Caenorhabditis elegans: one gene and its partners. The protein of the gene in region 3 purifies or fractionates together with the protein of the main gene of each other region. This does not show direct contact. Each region holds a gene or a part of one and is shown on either strand. Other genes may lie near its edges.

Region 1 (3,552 bases), on a different chromosome or scaffold from region 3:
ACTCAAAACTTCCGGCAGATCCTGAAATAAAATACAACTCTTGAGTTTACTGAAAACGTAACATTTACAGTTACAGTACCACAGAAAGGCTGATAATTTTTCACCCTAATCAGCAATTTAGGTGAAATTTATTACAAGTGGAATGCTTACAATAGTATTGAGAAAATTTTTTACCTACCTAAAGGTTGCGTCTCTCTCTCCGAAACTTGTAGAAGAATGGCTGCTCACTCCAAACCGGAATTATCTGTTGTTTTGGATGCATAGTTTTTAAAAGGCAGGTCTTAAAAATCCAATCCCTAACTTCTCTGCATGCACAAACTTTAAAAGTAGCTACAGTAATATTTTCACATGATAACCTGCATTAGGAGTGTTAACCCTAACCACAAACTTTATCATTGACTATGTGTCTAGTTACAATGACCAAACAACTGTGTGTGTTTCTTTAATAGGATTCTAATAGAATGTTAAATATCTAATGGCGAATTCGTGATTTCAGGTGAATTTATTTAGTTCCGGACACAAGCCTAAACAGAAAGTTCACAAAAGTTAGTCATGATGATCTTTTATCTTCAGTTGCAAACTTTTTCTCCACGGTTTCATGATTTTGAAGCTTCTTTTTATTTTAGAGATATCAAAATGTTGTCGATCTACTTACTCACTGCACAAAAAGGTTATTATGTAGTTTAAAATAAATTTTCGTTGGGCAGAATGAGGGATGATATATTATTACTGTTTCCCGGTATCCACTTGATGAGCATGCGACCTCTCTGTCCAGAAGCCAAACTTTCAATAACATCTACAGTATGTACTGTATTTTGCAATCACTTATAAAAACTGAAAACTGAGAAGAACCATAAATCATACATTTCCCGCATGTTTCTACTCAATTGATAACCGGATTATCACATTTCTTTACTATTACTATGAAATGACACGCAGTTGCAACAAACTTCAAATATTTGATAAGTTTCAGTCAATTCAGCAGAAAACGCACCAACACACATGTTCTGCTTCAGGTGAAGGAAACACGTAAAAAGTCACGTGGCTTATTCAAATGTTCAAATGAGTCGTATTTTGCAAAGTGTATCGAAATGCTACGCAATGTAGTGAATAATATAGTAAGTTAAGTGAAACCTACAAATCATGTATACAATTTTCAAAAATTTCCATATATTCTTCCCTGCGTACAATTCGAGAAAGGAGCAATCTACTTTAATGGTTAAGATTTTTTCAATCAGTAGCTTCAATAGTGTACTCTATTGCTGTTTAGATACGTCTTCAAATAAAGTTTATTTAAAAAATATGTTTTCTCTATTGTAATAGTTCTATAATTTCAAAAATTATTCCAATTAGCTACATTTCAATAAATATCAAAAATTCTACGCTTCTTAGTTGAAAATCTCCAATTACATTCGCTGTTTCATATTTAACATACGTTTCATTAAATCTTCAGGCATTTTTTAACCTTCGCCAAGATGGCCTAGTTTTTCCCGATGGCCGCGGACTAGCCATTAGGGGATGCAAACACGCTCCGTTGGACGACGGGCGATCTCGATTTTTATTCACCTTTTTTTAACAAAAAATCTCTGTTTTCAACTGTTTTGGGAAGTTTTTTCAGTTAATTTTCGTTATTAAAAATTGAAAAAAGTATTCGACTATATGTCTACGATTTTTACTATTGTTTGTTCCCCAAATACAATCTATTCCTCCGATTTTTTCATTTATAATTCTTAATACACATATTGACCTTCTAAAAATCAATCAAACAATGTTATCATTTCAGAGGGTAAGATGTTGGCTCGTACTATCCAAAGATTCTCGGTTGTTGCCAAGCGCGGATACGCCGCTGCCGCTCCAGCTGCCAACGCCAACCCAGAGGAGCTTCGTCTCACTTTCGCCTCCCCAGACACCGTGAGTAAATATTATTTGAAAACATTATTTGAAAATCAATTTACAGGCTGTCTTCAGCAATGCTGTCGTCAAGCAGGTTGATGTGCCAACTTTGGCCGGTATGGTTGGTGTTCTTGCCAATCACGTCCCAACCATTGGAGTTTTGAAACCAGGAGTTGTCTCTGTCACCACAAATGAAGGTTTATTTTGCAAAAATAAATTGTATTATCACCAAAGAATTTTTCAGGAACAGTTCAACGCCTTTTCGTCTCTTCGGGAACCCTCTCCGTGAACATCGATGGATCATGCCAAGTTCTTGCTGAGGAGGTCCTGAAAGTTGAAGAAATTGATGAGTCTGCTGCCCGCGCCGAGCTTGATGCTGCCCAAAGAGCCTCCGGAGAAGGAAGCGAGGTTGCTCGTGCTGAAGCTCAAATTCGCGCTGAAGTAAGTGTTCGAAAAAGTTTTAAAAACCAAAAAAAAATACAAGAAACGAATATCGTTTGGTTTCAGCAAAGTTAAGCATTTCGTAATATTTTTATTATCAAAATGATTCTGTGCTTCGATACTAAAACTGAGACCAGGACATAAAGTTGAGGGTCATAAAAGTAGTTCTCTGAAATGAATATGTCTTTAAGTTTTGTTTCAAAACAAGGGAATTTTTCAGGTTGCTGAAGCATTGATCAAGGCCGCCACGAACCAGCAATAAGGAGTATGTTGAGAGTAGACCCTTTAACTTTGGTAAATTCCTTTTTAATTTGATCCTAGGCACATCGTCAATTTCTCTCGATGCTGCTTATAGGATATTATGTACGGCCCTCCCTTTTTTTGTTTTCATTGTTCCATCGTTTCCAATAAATTTCGAGACTTTTAGTTTTTGACTTTTATTTTTCCAATTTTCTGATTTAGTGATATTTATAGTAGAAATGAACATTCGATCCTTCATCCAAGTAATTATATCAAACAAGAGAAAATTCTGAAAATGTATGTAAACTGGAATACCAATTCCATGAGTTTAAAACAATTACAATCTACAGCAATACGTACCCTAAAATGAAATAGAATTAGTATTTCCTTATGTTTACCAAAAAACGGAAACCTCGGGTTCGATTCAATTCATGCGCTAATCGAAAATGGTTGTTCAAAAAGCGAAATTGAACGAAAAAAATCGTAAGTGATGATGCCATTCAGAAGAATCTGCAACATTTGAAGAGGAAACCCAAGGAGGATTCGGCTTTTTCAAAGTGATGAAAGTTGAGATACAAATTGGAATTGTCTTTTTTATCGACAAACCCACTTTAAATGCCATTTACAGACACGATGGGAGGATAGACAACAAACTTCAAAAATCATATGAACACTTTTCTGAATCAAAATAATTATTCACCAATTTTCCACCATTTTTAGTAAATAGCTAATATTAGTTTGAATATCAAACTTCTTTTATTAAAATTGGAGCTTTATTTATTCAAACCTTCGCAAAATTGATTTGGTTTCTAAGAACTTCAAATAAAAAGTATTCTAAAAATGTTTAGCCTATTCCAAATACCAATGTCACATAATCTTATAGATCCGTCGCCACACTCAATAAAATTCTTCGTTAGAAAGTGTTCGGAATAGTGAGAATGGATTCGATTCCATATCTGTGTACATGTACAATTATGT
Region 2 (3,369 bases), on a different chromosome or scaffold from region 3:
AATTTGTCCATCCAGAACTCGTCGAAAACAATGAATCTTGAGCAGTATGTACCACTTTCTCGCAAGGTCCAAAAATGAAATAGTTATTCACACAAGTTTAAAGCTTTTTTCTATACCCTCTCATTTCTGAACTTTTCCTTGACGAATTACCATTTTGTGCAAATGAGGAGCGTCTACTGGAAGCCAAAGAACCATTAGATGTTTCCGAAGGCTGACGCCGCCGTCGTCCCTGAATTTAGTTTTTAAAAAAACTTTAGAAAATAATAAAACTAACCGTTTGTTGACGCATTTGCATCAGAAATACTTAGGTAACCCTGAAATTCTTAAATGTAGAAGAATCAAGAAACTGCAAAAAAATTTCGGAAAAGAATAACAAGTCAGGCCTGTCGTGCCTCCGTCTGTTTGTTTCATATTTATCGAATCAAGATAAGAGACAACGCGTCTGGCGCCTCTTGATTAAATGTGATCTATCACTTATTTAGAACAATAGTGCACTTCACGCCAATTCTTGATCTTTACATGGAATCCGAATTCAATGTACATAATACACTGACATTAATTGAAACTATGGAAATATTCGTTCAACTTCATTAGTTGGTTTTAACATGAAAAGAAAAAACTTGTTTTGATATCTTCAATCCGATCATCGAAGGTAATCAATGATGCCAACAGATTCTTTTCGCGCGAATTGCAAAGAAATTCTCATATAATATAAAGGAAACATGCGAAAGTTCTTTATCTTGCCATCACTCTTATGAAATACATAATCTGAAGAAGGGGGTATCGACTGCATAAGCTCCCAGGCACATAAAAAAATTCGACGAAATTATAAAACAAACGGCTACAAAACAAATCAAAATGGTCTTAAAAATGGTAGGAGAGCGATAAGGAAGAACGAGAGTTGTCTACTGAACGGTACATCATGATAAATCGTTTAATGGTCGTCAACCTTGTCGGCACGTCGAAGAACCTGAAAATTAATAAATATGACTATAATTTGGTAAATTTCTCCACCTTGTAGTCCTTGAATCTGTTCTCAATTTCTGGAGTCTCGTTGAGTCCGATGTTGCATGGATCAGGAATTCTGTTCTGGTAGCGAAGATCATAGAAATGAGCTGGGAAATACTCGACGAAATGCTGACGATCGAAATGTTCAACTGGTGGAGCCTTGGCCCACTTTTCCTCCACCTGGAAAAAGAATATTAAAAATCTTTTCGAAATAAAAGTAATAACCTTCTTGGCCTCCTGAAGTCCATCAGCGACCTTGACCTCATGAAGCTTAATACGGGCGTTGTTGTAATCAACCCATTGGTCTACTTCCTTCAAATACTCGGCTGGAACCTCTCCGTATGGGATCTTTACAGATTCATACTGCTTTTGAAGAGAATCGAGAACTGCCGAATGAGCCGGGAGGGCCTTCTTCAAAGCAGCAAAGTCGATCTTGGGAAGATCGGCCGGGAGCTGGCTGACAGCGGATTGGAAAGTTCCACTGACTCCCTTCACGCGGGTGAGTTCTGCGGCGTGTTCCGGGACCAAACGCTCGGCTGAAATTAAAAGTTAAAACACTAAATTGTGGAGAAGTTATTTATTACATACGTAAAATACCGTAACTTGTGACTTAAACAACTTACCGAGCTTCGACCAGTTCACGGAAGACGTCGCTACCCTCTTAGCGGCTCCAGACATACCTATAAAAATTGTGATGTTTTAACCTTATTTAGATTAACAGGAAAACGATTTTTGAAAATAAAAAGTAAATATGCTTAATTAGCAGGAAAATTGAATCGTTCACAAACAAAGAAACATAGAATAACTATTTTGAGTTGTTTTCAATTTTTAAGTAACGGAATGAACTGAAAAATAAGCTAAAACAGCTGAAAAGCACAAAAAATAGTATTTTCTGTTCAAAAGGGTGGAGTCTATCGCCCGTGAAAACGCAAAGTGCGGCGCGGTTTTCTCGGGTTCCTCGGCCATTTTTATCGGCCCTCGGGACAAAACTCGGCCACCAAAACCGATTTCAGATTTTTACTCTTATTTTATCAATTCAAGAATTTTCCTTATGTTGCTGATTATTTTAGTGGTATCTGTAGTTAAAAAAAAAAACAAAAAAGACATTGTTTCAGTAAAATGATGAACGTCCAACAAGAGCTCGAAGAGCTTATGCTTACCTATGAGGGGGTCTGCGCAATCTTCATCACTGATCACGATGGAGGTCTCATTCTGAATATCGGTAAGTATTTTCATCAATAAAACCAATAATTAATATAAACTTTAAAAATATAACCATTTTTCAGGTCTTCCATCGACATTGGATAATTCTAGATTCAGGCAACAGCTGATTGTCAGTCACGTGACAACAATCCCTCAAATTCACAAACTCGACATGGGTTAGTTATTGACTTCTCATTTTTATTTCTACTCAGTTATGTTTTAGGAGGTCATCAAACAACCTTTGCATTGTACGAGTCCCACCAAATTGCTGTTCATTCTATTGACAAGTATTATTTCATTGTTCACGCTGGAACCAACACGAACACTGGCGCCATGCTCTCTTTGCGTGAGAAATTATTTCCCATCGGCAGTCATATGATGTCACTTTGCCCACCAATTGATGGAGATGCTCTTTTACCACCACCATCGTACCCTTCTGCAGCTGCACCTCCCCCAGATTTCGACTAATAATTATGTGGTGGCTGCTCTCATTTTCCTGTGATTCCATGATTCGATATCTTTACTCAGCTTTTCAAGTTCATGCCAATCTTAAAAAACCAATCTAACTTTTCTTGTTTTCAAATTATCATACCCAATAACCGTATTTCCTGTAAAAACCTTCCCAGTTTTCTATTGATTCTCATCAAGAATAAAATTAAATTGAAAGATCCGTGGTTACAGAACATGCCTGTTTTCTCGTTGGTTTCTGCCAAAAACTATCTATTTTATACATCTCTAACGTGAACTGACTATAGCATAGATCAATCACTCTGATCGTTTTTTTTTCACTGACCGTACTGATCAAAATCATTTTTCAATCATTTCTTTTAGATTTACTCGAATGCAATAAAGTAAGTCTTATCAAACAAAGATATGCTGAACAGAAATTGGAGCAGTTTTTTGTTTAAACAGGTAAACAATATTTTGATTGAAGTGTGTTCAATTATAATACGTTTAGGTTGCACTGTATCGAAACTTCCGTCAAAATTGGTCACGATTCAAGACGAAAGCGTAAGTCAACTATTATGGAGTGAAGTAGGACCAAAAAAGTCTTACCAAAAAACAAAAAAACAGATTTTGATTTTGGACCAAGAACTACAAATTGGAATTTGTGACCATAAAACCCAAAAAAAGTCGATTTTCGATTTATTTTGAACT
Region 3 (4,816 bases):
AATAATTCGATAAATGTTCTCGACACGACAAATTTGTGCTAAATACGAGAAGGTGTGCTCCTTTAAAGAGTACTGTAGTTTCAAACTTTTGTTGTTCCGGAATTTTCATTTAATTTTAATGGTTTTTCGGGAAGTTTTTTTTTTAATTTAAATTTAAGTTGATCAATCAGGAAGTATGTTTTCATCGAAAAATCGTGAAAAACTGACAGCAACAAAAGTTGAAAAAACAAAGGTGAAACTACAGTACTTTTTAAAGGCGCACACTCGTGAACCAATAACACGACCATGTGTCGATTTACGCAGCTCGTGTACTTCTCGAGGAGAAGTGGGAATTCAGTATTCTACAATTTTACTGTTTCCTGTTAAAATTCTAGACTTTGGATCATTTTCGCTGATTTTTATTGAAATAAAGAATTACTAATTACTACTTGAAATGACAGTTAGTTTTTTTTTCAAGATTCGAAAACTTTCAGGTAAGAAATTAGCTGTAAAATGGAACGATGCTATTATTATTTAACGCCAGTCACCTATATACAGAAAGTTTCGCGTAAAGTGGGGTTCAGTAAGCGGATAGCCTCGGGTGAGGCTGACAATAAGTGTGCGAACGTGGTCAAGGCCAGTCAACCGGTGGACAAGAGATGCAATGGATCGGTCGGAGACGCAGATATCTTTCCGTCCAATTGGGAGTGGTCTTGTTGTGTTTTTTTTTTTGCATCGGGGGAAAATTGAGGGCGCTGATTTGATGGGCAGACAATCTCATCAGGAAATCATTCAGATATTATAATTCTGCAGAAAATAATCGAGCAGATATACATTTTCTGGCACAATTCGTCAATTCATTCATTTTACTCCGAACCGTACAAACAAATAACGCTACTCTAAATTAAAATTAATTTTTGGAAAAAGAAAATAAATGAACAGCAAAAAGTTTTCTAAAAAAGTGTATCTGACAACAGATAGAGAGAGAGAGAGACGGTGAACGAACAGCGAAAAGTACATAGGGAATCCGAGATGAGGAAGACGTCATCGTTCACTGCTTACATTCTCCACCACGACATACCAGCGCGAGTAAGGGCGTAGTTGGGGAAGGCTTCTGTGCGACCTAGAAAAGAGAAATTGTTTGCAATTCTCATAATGTAAAAACAACAGCAAGTGGAAAACTACTCACCAACTCCGACAGCAGCAAGATCACGATCGTACACATGTCTTGAAATAGCCTCGCGGACAGCTCCAGCGTCAACCTTTTGAATTTGAGCTTCAAGTTCTGACAACTGTCTGAGATTTCCGGTGTAAAGAAGCTGAAAATAATGAAATAACTATCCATAGCATTTTCTGCAGAGTAACAAACCTCCTTAGCGTTAAATCCAGCCTTTTGTGTGTTGGTCTCGAGGTTCTGGTACAAGTTGGTTCTGAATTGGTTCTTGGCCATGGCGACTTCTTCTTCTGTGGCAGCAGAGGCCAAATGCTTCCATTCGTGAGCAACAGACTTCATGATTCCGCTGGTGTCGTTCAAGTCGTGAGCATCAGCAACAAAGTAGATTCCGAACAATCCAGTGTCTCTGAAAAAAAGAAAATAAAAATTTAAATAAGCTTGCAAAAAAAGATACTTACTTGTAGTTGATGTTGAAATGCTGGAGGTTATGGACTCCGTGGTCGTGTCCGATTTTTTGGACAAGTCTGGAAGCAGCTGTTCTGGATGTAGCGTGGGTCACATCCCATTGGCCTAAAACTCATCAAAATTACGGTTTGAATTGAAAAATTCACACAAAAGCCAACTTACCAATGAATTGATTGGCAATTTGAAGAGCGAGAGCATCTTTGTGGGCATATCCAACACCCTAAAAATGAAGTAAAATGAAAGACTGAACACACATTTATTATTTGTACCTCAACAGCGAAAGCAGCATACATGTGTGGGACATTATCGTTGCGGTATCTGTATTCAGATCCGGTGAATCGTGTTCCATCGACCTGTGGAACCTTTCGTGGGTATTCGTTGCTCAAGTCTCCGAAATATTTATCGGCGAGGCTTGAAACATTGGAAACTCCTCCTCCGACAGCGGACAGAACCATGCGCACTGGTCTGTAATGATCCTCTTGCCACTCCTTCAATTGTTGAGCAGAGATATTCTGAAAAAATAATCAACTTTATGTAAACCCAAATAAATACTTACTGGAATGCTCTCACTGGTTCCGAGAACGCTGAGAGCGAGTGGGGTGCCTTGGAATCCGGCAGCGTGGAGCATATCGAAGAGGACAAGCTGATGATAGTCATCGGAAGCTTCGAGCTCTTTGAGAAGATTAACTCTTTCGGTATCGATGGTTGAGGCCTCAAGCTTGCTGTTGCGGAGAACATCGGCGAGGATATCGACAACTGAAAATTTTGGAAAATTAACACAATTTTATAAGTTACAAATATTTACCTTTCTCAACATCTTGAGCTCCAGCTTGGACAAAAACTGCGGTTTGGTCACGCTCAGTGAACGAGTTGAGTTTTGCTCCGATAGCATTAAGCTCGGATTCGAGAGCAGCAGATGCTCTCTTTCCAGTTCCCTTGTGGATCAATCGCTCGAGGAAATGTGCGACACCGTTGTTCTTCTCGTTCTCAAAACGAGATCCGGTCTCGATCCAGACTCCCACCTACAATTTAAAACAAAAGAAATTTTAGAAAACTAGTGGGCAAAATTACGGTAGCGGTGGCGGATCCATTATCTTCGGTGACAACACGGAAGCCATTCTTCAAGGTGGTAACTTCAGCTTGTGGAGCGCTGGCAAGCACGTCCTTCACGGAGACAGCTGATGAAGCATTGCGAACCTGAAAATTAATTAATTTAATTAGATTTTCTACATTATCATCGTTGTTACGTTCTCCATGCGACCTGTGGGCATACAACTTTCAATTTTATTTTCAATTAAGAGTTTTTATTTCTCTTTTAGCAATCTCACAAGAAAATTACCTGGCTATTGAGAGCCGGACGCAAAGCAGAGCTGACGGCGAGTCTGAGAGCCATTCTCTCAAGTTTTCCCCTGTTCTCTGAAAATAAAAATATATAAATAGGATATTAATCGATAGATAAAAATTCAGAGAACATTATTTTAAATTGAAAAACTTGAAAAAATATATCTGAAACTCGAAAAGAAGCTGAAAACAACTAAAACCATCAAGCCGCCCAGCAGTGCAGAGACGCAGACAGCGGAATCGCTTCGAGACCCACCGAAAGTTTAAAGGCGCACCCGTAAATCGCTCCATACTTATTCCGAATATATTCTGCGAAATTCTGTCTTTTGTTCCCAATATCTCTATATTTGCTGATTTTCTCCTTTTTCAACTAGTTTTCTTAATTTGTCATACATTTAATCCATTTATCCTGCGCGTAGCTTTTCGAAATACCTAATATTTTCGTATAACGCTTTATAAAGCCACTTGAAACTCTAATTTTCCTATTGAAGGAGAAACTTGCGATGTCTTCGAGACACCGATTGGATTTAGATGGCAGCGGACGCGGAGACAGAAGAAGGTAAGTAAAATTGTTGCTTCCCCAGTTCAATATAATAATAATAATTTATTTTCAGATCTCCTAACCGCAGATCCCGATCCCGCTCCCGATCGCCACACAGACGCTCCTCCCCCGACCGGAAAAGACAGATTGGGGCAGTTGGAAATATGAAGGTATTTTTTAGTAAACGAATTTTTGTTTCTCATCTCCAAATTTACAGATCCAAATCAATCCATACAACAACCAGCCATTTAGTAACCGATATTGGGCAATTTGGGAGAAAAGAAGTCAATTGCCAGTATGGGAATATAAGGAAAAGTTTATGGAGCTGCTCCGGAACAACCAGTGCATCACTCTTGTCGGAGAAACGGGATCCGGAAAGACCACGCAAATCCCACAGTGGGCCGTCGAGTTCATGAAGCAGCAGCAACAAGGACAACCACCCGGTCAAGCGAGATTGGTGGCTTGCACACAGCCTAGACGGGTCGCTGCGATGAGCGTTGCGACAAGAGTTGCTGAGGAAATGGACGTAGTTTTGGGACAAGAAGTGGGATACAGTATTCGTTTCGAAGACTGCATCAGCGAACGAACTGTTCTCAAATACTGTACAGACGGTATGTTGCTGCGAGAAGCAATGAACAGCCCGCTCCTCGATAAGTACAAAGTCCTTATTCTCGACGAGGCTCACGAAAGAACACTCGCCACAGATATTCTTATGGGACTGATCAAGGAAATCGTGAGAAATCGAGCTGATATCAAGGTCGTAATCATGTCCGCTACATTGGATGCAGGAAAGTTTCAAAGATATTTCGAGGATTGCCCGTTGCTCAGTGTTCCCGGAAGAACATTCCCTGTTGAGATCTTCTTCACTCCAAATGCGGAGAAAGATTATCTAGAAGCCGCGATCAGAACTGTAATCCAAATTCATATGGTCGAGGAGGTTGAAGGTGACATTTTACTGTTCCTCACTGGTCAAGAAGAGATCGAAGAAGCTTGCAAAAGAATAGATCGTGAGATTCAAGCCTTGGGAGCAGATGCTGGAGCACTCAGCTGCATTCCGTTGTACTCTACACTTCCCCCAGCAGCACAGCAGAGAATCTTCGAACCAGCACCACCAAATCGACCGAATGGAGCAATCAGCAGAAAGTGTGTCATCTCTACAAATATCGCTGAGACATCATTGACTATTGATGGCGTTGTCTTTGTTATCGATCCTGGATTCTCGAAGCAAAAAGTGTACAATCCAAGAATTCGTGTCGAGTCGCTGCTTGTTTGTCCCATTTCGAAAGCTTCTGCTATGCAAAGAGCTGGACGCGCCG

What was found. Proteins that work in one complex are often made in the same cells at the same time.
Region 1: the proteins of ucr-1 (region 3) and F58F12.1 fractionate together in Caenorhabditis elegans (co-fractionation; one large-scale study listed by BioGRID). This does not show direct contact.
Region 2: the proteins of ucr-1 (region 3) and atp-5 fractionate together in Caenorhabditis elegans (co-fractionation; one large-scale study listed by BioGRID). This does not show direct contact.

What each region holds. Positions count from the first base shown.
Region 1 is NC_003280.10:6,381,862-6,385,413, forward strand, and holds F58F12.1 (ATP synthase subunit delta, mitochondrial), read left to right. Parts: upstream 1-1,783; 5' UTR 1,784-1,791; coding exon 1,792-1,911; intron 1,912-1,957; coding exon 1,958-2,090; intron 2,091-2,137; coding exon 2,138-2,334; intron 2,335-2,554; coding exon 2,555-2,596; 3' UTR 2,597-2,831; downstream 2,832-3,552. UniProt on the Caenorhabditis elegans protein: Mitochondrial membrane ATP synthase (F(1)F(0) ATP synthase or Complex V) produces ATP from ADP in the presence of a proton gradient across the membrane which is generated by electron transport complexes of the respiratory chain.
Region 2 is NC_003283.11:11,122,180-11,125,548, forward strand, and holds atp-5 (ATP synthase subunit d, mitochondrial), read right to left. Parts: upstream 1,689-3,369; 5' UTR 1,687-1,688; coding exon 1,632-1,686; intron 1,545-1,631; coding exon 1,234-1,544; intron 1,189-1,233; coding exon 1,015-1,188; intron 971-1,014; coding exon 935-970; 3' UTR 722-934; downstream 1-721. Other genes in the region: mboa-2 (O-acyltransferase), read right to left, coding at 1-68, 117-229, 275-295; lmtr-3 (Late endosomal/lysosomal adaptor and MAPK and MTOR activator 5), read left to right, coding at 2,131-2,230, 2,295-2,387, 2,435-2,679; strt-7 (Phosphatidylcholine transfer protein), read left to right, coding at 3,085-3,123, 3,170-3,222.
Region 3 is NC_003281.10:5,590,353-5,595,168, reverse strand, and holds ucr-1 (Cytochrome b-c1 complex subunit 1, mitochondrial), read right to left. Parts: upstream 3,012-4,816; coding exon 2,958-3,011; intron 2,816-2,957; coding exon 2,690-2,815; intron 2,641-2,689; coding exon 2,424-2,640; intron 2,375-2,423; coding exon 2,175-2,374; intron 2,131-2,174; coding exon 1,888-2,130; intron 1,839-1,887; coding exon 1,781-1,838; intron 1,730-1,780; coding exon 1,612-1,729; intron 1,560-1,611; coding exon 1,349-1,559; intron 1,299-1,348; coding exon 1,169-1,298; intron 1,103-1,168; coding exon 1,038-1,102; 3' UTR 844-1,037; downstream 1-843. Other genes in the region: Pre-mRNA-splicing factor ATP-dependent RNA helicase ddx-15, read left to right, coding at 3,463-3,518, 3,574-3,670, 3,718-4,816.